2 linked regions of the Macaca fascicularis genome follow. The protein of the gene in region 2 interacts with the protein of the main gene of each other region in a pairwise test. Links are inferred from orthologs where the notes say so. Each region holds a gene or a part of one and is shown on either strand. Other genes may lie near its edges. The genes, in order: TSSK4 and CREB1.

Region 1 (4,413 bases), on a different chromosome or scaffold from region 2:
GGCGTGGTGGTGGGCATCTGTATTCCCAGCTACTTGGGAGGCTGAGGCGGGAGAATGGCGTGAACCCAGGAGGCCGAGCTTGCAGTGAGCCGAGATCACGCCACTGCACTCCAGCCTAGGCGACAGAGCAAGACTCCGTCTCAAAAAAAAAAAAAGGATAAGTAGGGAATAGGAGATTGGGTGGTTTAGGCAGGAGGAACAATATGAGGCTTGTAGGCTTGAGAGAATATGATATTCAGTATTTCTATTTGAATACAGGATAGGGTTCCAGAAGGGGAATGTACCTCGAGAAGTAATTAGGATCCAGGTCTGAGCGGTCTCATATGCCAGGCTATTTTGACTTTACCTTGTATGCTCATATAATCTGGGTATACATCACAATCAGTGCTGGCCGGTCGTGGTGGCTCACGCCTGTAATCTCAGCACTTTGGGAGGCTGAAGCAGGCAGATTATGAGGTCAGGAGATCAAGACCATCCTGGCTAACACGGTGAAACCCTGTCTCTACTAAAAAATACAAAAAAATTAGCCAGGCGTGGTCCGGGCGCCTGTAGTCCCAGCTACTTGGGAGGCTGAGGCAGGAGAATGGCATGAACCTGGGAGGTGGAGCTTGCAGTGAGCTGAGATTGCGCCACTGCACTCCAGCCTGGGAGACAGAGCGAGACTCTGTCTCAAAAAAAAAAAAAAAAAAAAAAAAAACGAAAACAAAATCAGTGCTTATTTTTTTGAGACAGAGTTTGGTTCTTGTTGCCCAGACTGGAGTGCAATGGTACAGTCTCAGATCACCGCAACCTCCGCCTCCCGGGTTCAAGCGATTCTCCTGCCTCAGCCTCCCAAGTAGCTGGGATTATAGGCATGAGCCACCATGCCCGGCTAATTGTTTTGTATTTTTAGTAGAGACGTGGTTTCACCATGTTGGCCGGGCTGGTCTCGAACTCCTGACCTCAGGTGATCCACCCACCTCGGCTTCCTAAAGCGCTGGGATTACAGGTGTGAGCCACTGAGCCCGGCCTCAGTGCTTGCTTTAAAAAAAAGAAAAGAAAATGCTGATGACCAGGTAACCCCTCTCCTGAGAATCCTGATTTTAAAAAAGTAGAGAACTTTTATATCTAGCTGGAGGATCGTATGTGCACTAGTCAGCACTCTGTGTCTAGCTCAGGGTTTGTGAATACACCAATTGGTACTCTGTATCTAGCTAATCGAATGGAGACTTGGAGGACTAGCACTCTGACTCTGTGTCCAGCTCAAGGATTGTAAATGCACCAATTGGCACTCTGTGTCTAGCTCAAGGTTTGTAAATACACCAATCAGTACTCTGTGTCTAGCTCAAAGTTTGTAAACATATCAATTGGTACTCTGTATCTAGCTAACACTGTATCTAGCTAACTAGCACTCTGTGACCCTGTGTCTAGCTCAAGGATTGTAAACGTACCAATCAGCACTCTGTCAAATCGGACCAATCAGCTCTCTGTAAAATGGACCATCAGCAGGATGTGGGTGGGGCCAGATAAGGGAATAAAAGCAGGCTGCCCGAGCCAGCAGTGGCAACCCGCGGGGGTCCCCTTCCACCCTGTGGAGGTTTTGTTCTTTCACTCTGTAATAAATCTTGCTGCTGCTCACTCTGGGTCCATGCTGCCATGAGCTGTAACACTCAAGGCGAAGGTCTGCAGCTTCATTCCTGAAGCCAGCAAGACTACAAACCCACCGGGAAGAACAAACAACTCCTGAGGCACTTCCTTTAAGAGCCGTAACACTCACCACGAAGGTCTACAGCTTCACTCCTGACAGCAAGACCACGAACCCGCCAGAAGGAAGAAGCTCCAGACACATCTGAACGTCTGAAGGAATAAACTCCGGACACACCATCTTTAAGAACTGTAACACTCAATGTGAGGGTCCACGGCTTCCTTCTTGAAGTCAGTGAGACCAAGAACCCACCAATTTCGGACACACTTGGATTACAGGTGTGAGCCCACTGTGCCCGACCTCAGTTCTTTTTCTAATTACAAAATTCACTGATTGTCTAAAAAACTCCACCATCTACTTCTTTGACCCTCACCTATGTCTGCAGGGAGATGAACTGGGTCATAAAGGGCAGTAATTGTAGAAGCAGGTAAATTAAGGGCTTTTCAGGCCAGAAGTCATTTGTGATTTTTCCACTGTGCTTCTTCCCCTGGGGAGAGAGAACCTTAAGTCCACTTCCTTACACGTTGCTCCCAGGTGGCGAAACAGAAGTCACTACTCAAAGGTCCAATTTTCAAGGGGAACTCCCTAGACGGCAGATCCCCTTTAAAATCGCTGAGATAAACACAAGAGTAAACTTTTTCAAAATAATTTGCCATAGAAAGTTAAGAGAAGCCCAAAGACATACACAGTGATAAATAAGAACAAAAACATAGAAGAAGACTAACGGACCGCGAGATACTTTACCAATTAACAATAACCGTGTCAGGCTGCCCAACTCAGAGAGTGAAAGGACAGACACCCTCTCTCCTTGGGCGCCTCTGCGCCAGACCGGGTTTCGGCTTGCTTATGGTGGGGCACTGAACGCTCACTGTGCGGCCAGGGAAGTCTCCAGCATAGCCTCTGGAAGACATTCCTATTACATATTTATTACTTTGGCGCGGGCCATTCGTGACAGGTGGGAGAGGAGTGAGGTGAGATTCAGACGGTGGGACCCTTGCATGGGACAGATGCCCAGAGCCCCTTCCCCAGTTGGGGGGCCACGAACCGCCTCGCAGGGCTCAGCAGCTGGTGGTTCAGCTGGCAAGTGCCTCGAACAAAGCCGCCGCCTGCGCTCCATCTCCCCGGCCCTCGCTAGGCTCTTGCCTGCGGGTACACCTCTCGGGCCTCGGCCAGGGCGAGCCTCCTGGCCAAGAGCTCTCAAACCCCAAATCTTTCCCGGAGCAAGCGAGCGGCCTAGATGCCACTCCTCTCCCGAAGGGGCGTCAGGGTCCTGGCTGCCAGGCCTCAGCCCCCTCCCCGGGAAGCCGTCGCGAAGGGGTCCCCAGGGGCTGCAGCGTCTAAGGCCCTCTACATTCAATGCAACAAGCTTTCCGCCAGGCTGAGGTCCCCGCCGCTGAGGGCGGAAGTGGTAAGACTGACGTGTCCTGGGCCGCGCTGCCGATCGCCGGGAGGACCCCCGCCTTGCCCAGGACGGGCGGGGCGAGCCGAGCCTCACGGGGTCGCCGGAGCTGGGCCGGGCCTCCAGATGGAGAAGGCGCAGCGGGGAGTTCTTGAGTAAGCCAGAGCTGTGTCCAGCGCGGTGTAGCCGCAGCTGCAGCTGTCAGGCGCAGCAGCGGGCAACCCCGTGGAGGTCGGTTGGCAGGTCCTCTCCAACCCGCCGCTACCGCGCCGCTCTGGTAGAGACCCCGGCAGGAGCCCAAGGGCAGCTACGGGGCCGCGGAGGCCGCTGGCGCCGCCTCGGCCAGCCCTTCCCGCGCGGTGAGGACCTCGGGGCTATGGCGGGAAGGGACCCGAGGTGCGAGACCGCGCGGCGTTGTCATGGAAACGGGCCAGGGCGCGAAATAGAGGCCCCGGGCCGGACGGGCTGCGGGAGGGATGAACCCCAGGTTGGGAGGATGAGAGAGCTGAAGTGGAGCGGGGTCTTTGGGATAGAGAGAGGCGGGGTAGGGTGGGGGCGGGGAGGGGGTCAATGGGAGCAAGTGGAGCCAGGGGACCTCAGTTCGAGGCACCTGACCTGGGGTTTCTGTAACCTCCCTGGTTTCTGTAACCTCAGGATTCCCCCAAACAGGTTCCACTGCCTTAAGGATGACAGTCATAGGGAACCCTCGAAGTTGGAGCTGCCAGTGGTTGCCAATCCTGATACTGTTGCTGGGCACAGGCCATGGGCCAGGGGTGGAAGGCGTGACACACTACAAGGCCGGCGACCCTGTTATTCTATATGTCAACAAAGTGGGACCCTACCATAACCCTCAGGAAACTTACCACTACTATCAGCTTCCAGTTTGCTGCCCTGAGAAGATACGTCACAAAAGCCTTAGCCTGGGTGAAGTGCTGGATGGGGACCGAATGGCTGAGTCTTTGTATGAGATCCGCTTTCGGGAAAACGTGGAGAAGAGAATTCTGTGCCACATGCAGCTCAGTTCTGCACAGGTCAGCCTCTCCACATTGGCTATCATGTAGCCCTCCTTCCCAGAGACTAACAGTGCCTTACATATATGGTTCAGGGTACCTTTATGGAAATTGTCTGATTTGATTCTAACTACAATACAACCCAGTGTGGCAGGCAGGGTAGGTGATGCTATTCTAATTCAGTTGACTAAGTTACGAACTTGCTTAGAAGTTACTTTTTTCAAGATTACATTGACAGTGAATTGCAGAACTGATATCAGAGCCCAGGGTTTCTTACTGCAAGCTTCTCTGTTGGTCATGAGGTCCCAACTATCAGTCCT
Region 2 (3,814 bases):
ATTTTGTTTTAATGAATTGTGTTTTATTGAAAGCTATCTCAAACATTTTGAGAATAATAAAATATATACATAAATATTATAGAGAAAAACCAGTAGGATTAGACTTCATTTTCCAAAGTATTTTCATATACATGACCTCATTTGATATTTACAAAATTGTACTTAGTGGCTAGAACTCAGATGCTTTTATTTTTAGAGAAGAGATAACAGAATCAAATAACAGTTTAGTGATGGCTGGGCACAGTGGCTCGTGTCTGTGATCCCAACACTTGGGGAGGCCAAGGTGGGAAGACTGCTTGAGGCCAGGAGTTCAAGATCAGCCTGGGCAACATAGCAAAACCCTATCTCTTCAAAAAAATGTTTTTAGAAAATTAGTGGGGCCTGATGGCCTGTGCTAGCTACTTGGGAGGCTGAGGCAGGAGGATCACTTCAGCCCAGCAGTTGGAGGCTACAGTGAGCTGAGATCTTGCCACTGCACTCCAGCCTATAAAACAGAACAAGACCCTGTCTCAAAAGAAAAAAATTAAACTGTTCAGTGATGGAACTCACACTACAACTCAGTCTTGTCATACATGGTTTACTATTTCTGCTTTCTTCTTCCCACCTTGAGTTTACTGCTCTGTAGCCAAGAAGAAAGTGGTATGTTAAATACAGTAGAATTCACTCATTAACTCTAAATGAGAAATTGTGATTTGTTTCTGTTAACCTTCTGATTCTTTCAAGTAATCATGCAAAATTAATCTTAGAATAGTTCTTACTCATTTTTCTCCCTGCCTAAGAGAAGTAAAACTTCTGGGATTCGCTAAACTAGATCCAGTGTATATGCCAGCGTCTTAATTTTCACAAGTATCATTTTGCTAAACTTATCACACTGTAGCCATTAACTCTTCTTATTTCTTGATTAGGCAATAGATAATCAATTTCCCATGTACAGGTGACTCAGGATGTTATATCCCATAGCTGTTGGATAACTGATCCCAAACTAATTCCCTTCTAATGGACATGCTTAATCAGACATGTTGACTTTCCTGCATTGTTTACTTTTTTCTTAGTTAAAATCAGTTGTACAGTTTTATATGTGATATTGTGATTTTCTGTCCTTCTCGTTCTGAAAAGCTTGACCCCCTACAGGGTGAATTGTCTAGAGAGGATATTGCCACCTATCTAAATCCTTCTTCCAAATAAACAATCTAATTTTTAAATTAAATTTTTCTATGTACTGTAGCATAAAGTTGATTTAGTTTTTCATAAAGTGAAATATCTACTAGTATGAGCAAAAGTTGACTGATTTATTGTTTAACAAATGAATGGCAGGTGTGGTTAATTAGGGCGTAAATAACGGGTTCCATATGAAAATGCTTGGATATGTATTAAATAATTTAGAAATTGACAGTAAAAGATTTTTTTTTCTAAGTGATGACCTTGAGCTCTGATTTTAAAATTCCATGAGAGACTGTTGATAATTAAGTTCCATAGGATATTTCAGTTGTTTCATTCAGTAGATTAGATACCATTAATGAATTTCTACAAGAGTTAGGGAATAGAATGCACTGATGAACTGCTTTATTAGTTATATGTTAAAACAACCATTTATTGGGTGCCTATTTCATGGCTGCCACTGTGCTAAGTGTATGAAAGTAGATAAGAAAATTCCTACTCTCCAGAAATTTATTTATTAGTGGGACAAGTGTTAATACATTATGTAGTTAATGCTGAAATAAAGGATCACAGAGTGGAACCTCTGCAGAACCAGATAACTTCAGAAGGAATTTAACATTTTTCCATTTAAAAAATTGTTAACAGGCATTATTATTATAAATTAGAATGCAGTTCATAGAGTGCATTTCTATTGTAGAAATTGAATATGGGTTTCCTGAGCAGCAAGTTACTTGAATATATCAGACACTTCTTGGTGATGTTATTTGCTGTAATTTCTCCTAGACTATTTTACAAATTATTCTACATTGGATTTAGTGTTTTAAAAGTCTTATATGGTATTAAACTTGTAACAATAAAATCCATTGGATTTTAGTTGCCATTACCCAGGGAGGAGCAATACAACTGGCTAACAATGGTACCGATGGGGTACAGGGCCTGCAAACATTAACCATGACCAATGCAGCCGCCACTCAGCCGGGTACTACCATTCTACAGTATGCACAGACCACTGATGGACAGCAGATCTTAGTGCCCAGCAACCAAGTTGTTGTTCAAGGTAAGGGACTTCAGAATTCACAGGTGTGGTAAATTCTTCAAAATACTAAAATTTTATAAACTCACAGAAAAAGTAAGTATCATATTACAAAGCTCCATTCAAATGTAGTTAACATTTCTTCAATATAGATAGTATTTTCCATGAACTCTTCCATTATTCCAATTGGACCAAAATGTCATGGCATAAAAACAACTATTTTCAGTTTTTAAAATATTGCATCTGCCTTTAACATCTTTACTATTTGGGGTAGAAGAAACAGGACAGGTTAGAAGGAAAGACCAGGAAATCAGGAGTTAGAAAAGATGGATTCTATATCTAACTGCATGAATCTGCTATGAGGCCTTGAGTAAAAGCTCCTCTGGGCCTCAGAAAAGTGTTTTTTTTTTGTTTGTTTGTTTGTTTTTTATCGTTTTTGTTTTGTTTTGTTTTCATGTGTAAAATAAGAGTTGCACTAAATCTCTGAAAACAGTCTTTAGAAGTTCAGGATTCTGTTTCTGTGCTTTTTATTCAAAAGAAATTTAAATCTTCTGAGATCATCAGTTTTTATTATTTTTTTTTTTTTTTCTAGAGACATGGTCTCACTGTGTTGCCCAGGCTAGTCTTGAACTCCGGGCCTCAAGTAATCCTCCTTTCTCGGGCTCCCAAAGTGTTGGGATGCCTCTGCACTTGACCCAGTTTTTATTTCAAATGAAAACATTATATTCCACAAAATCTTATACCATCTTATGCTGTTCTTTAGAGAAAAAGTAGTTGTTAAATTCTTGACAAATTATAGAAGTTGCTTTTTTGTTTTTGGGGGTTTTTCTTGTTTTTTTTTTTTTTAGTTTAATTGTTTTTTTCTGTCTGTTTCAGGAATCTTTATGGATATCAGTTAACCATTTTTCTTTGGATTCGTTTGAATATTTCAGGAATATAGTTAATGCCAGGTTAGAAATTTGCTGATTGAGGAAATAATAATAAATCTGTTTCTGAAAATATTTTTATAAATGATAATGTATTTTGCCTGGGTTAGGTAATGACAGTTGTATCCTTTCACCATGGATAATTGAATAATCCTGAAACACCAACTGGAGAGAGTCATAACTTATTTAAAGAGCCCTAATGTTTACAGAATATATTCTGTTATTAAGCGAGTATTTGAAAAAGATACTATTTTGCTTATTGATGAGAGTAAAACACCTTTTCACTTTACATGCAGGTACTCAAAAATTGTAAAGCAGGATGTCAGTGAATTTGAATTCTGAACGTCAGTTTGAAGATGGTAACATGTTTAGTATATAAATCTTTTCCACTCAAAGCATACTTTTTAATTGATATTAATAATTAATATTAATAATTTAATAAAGACCTTCAAATTTTTTAAGTAACATTAGGTTCCTTAGGAGAGCATATTATTACACTGTTTTTAGAAGCAGTTTGACAAATAGTGATTGTGTTTGTTTTTACAAATGGTGAATCAGAAAAATAAAACTTCAGTTTATTTAGTCATTATCATTTACATTAAAACAATATGTTTTCAAATAATATAATTGGCATCAGGTGATACACTTTTTCATACTTTCAGTTTTGTTTTAATTCAAAATCTATAATAGTTGACCA

The links.
Region 1: the proteins of CREB1 (region 2) and TSSK4 interact in binary tests that used the Homo sapiens proteins (3 or more experiments, as listed by UniProt). The link is inferred for Macaca fascicularis from reciprocal best matches to the Homo sapiens genes CREB1 and TSSK4.

What each region holds. Positions count from the first base shown.
Region 1 is NC_088381.1:92,011,588-92,016,000, reverse strand, and holds the start of TSSK4 (testis-specific serine/threonine-protein kinase 4), read right to left. Parts: upstream 3,074-4,413; 5' UTR 1,757-3,073; intron 1-1,756. Other genes in the region: TM9SF1 (transmembrane 9 superfamily member 1), read left to right, coding at 3,770-4,114. UniProt on the Homo sapiens protein: Serine/threonine kinase which is involved in male germ cell development and in mature sperm function. May be involved in the Cre/Creb signaling pathway. Phosphorylates CREB1 on 'Ser-133' in vitro and can stimulate Cre/Creb pathway in cells.
Region 2 is NC_088386.1:103,521,510-103,525,323, forward strand, and holds part of CREB1 (cyclic AMP-responsive element-binding protein 1), read left to right. Parts: intron 1-2,032; coding exon 2,033-2,215; intron 2,216-3,413; coding exon of another isoform or gene 3,414-3,430; exon of another isoform or gene 3,431-3,436; coding exon of another isoform or gene 3,437-3,476; intron 3,477-3,814.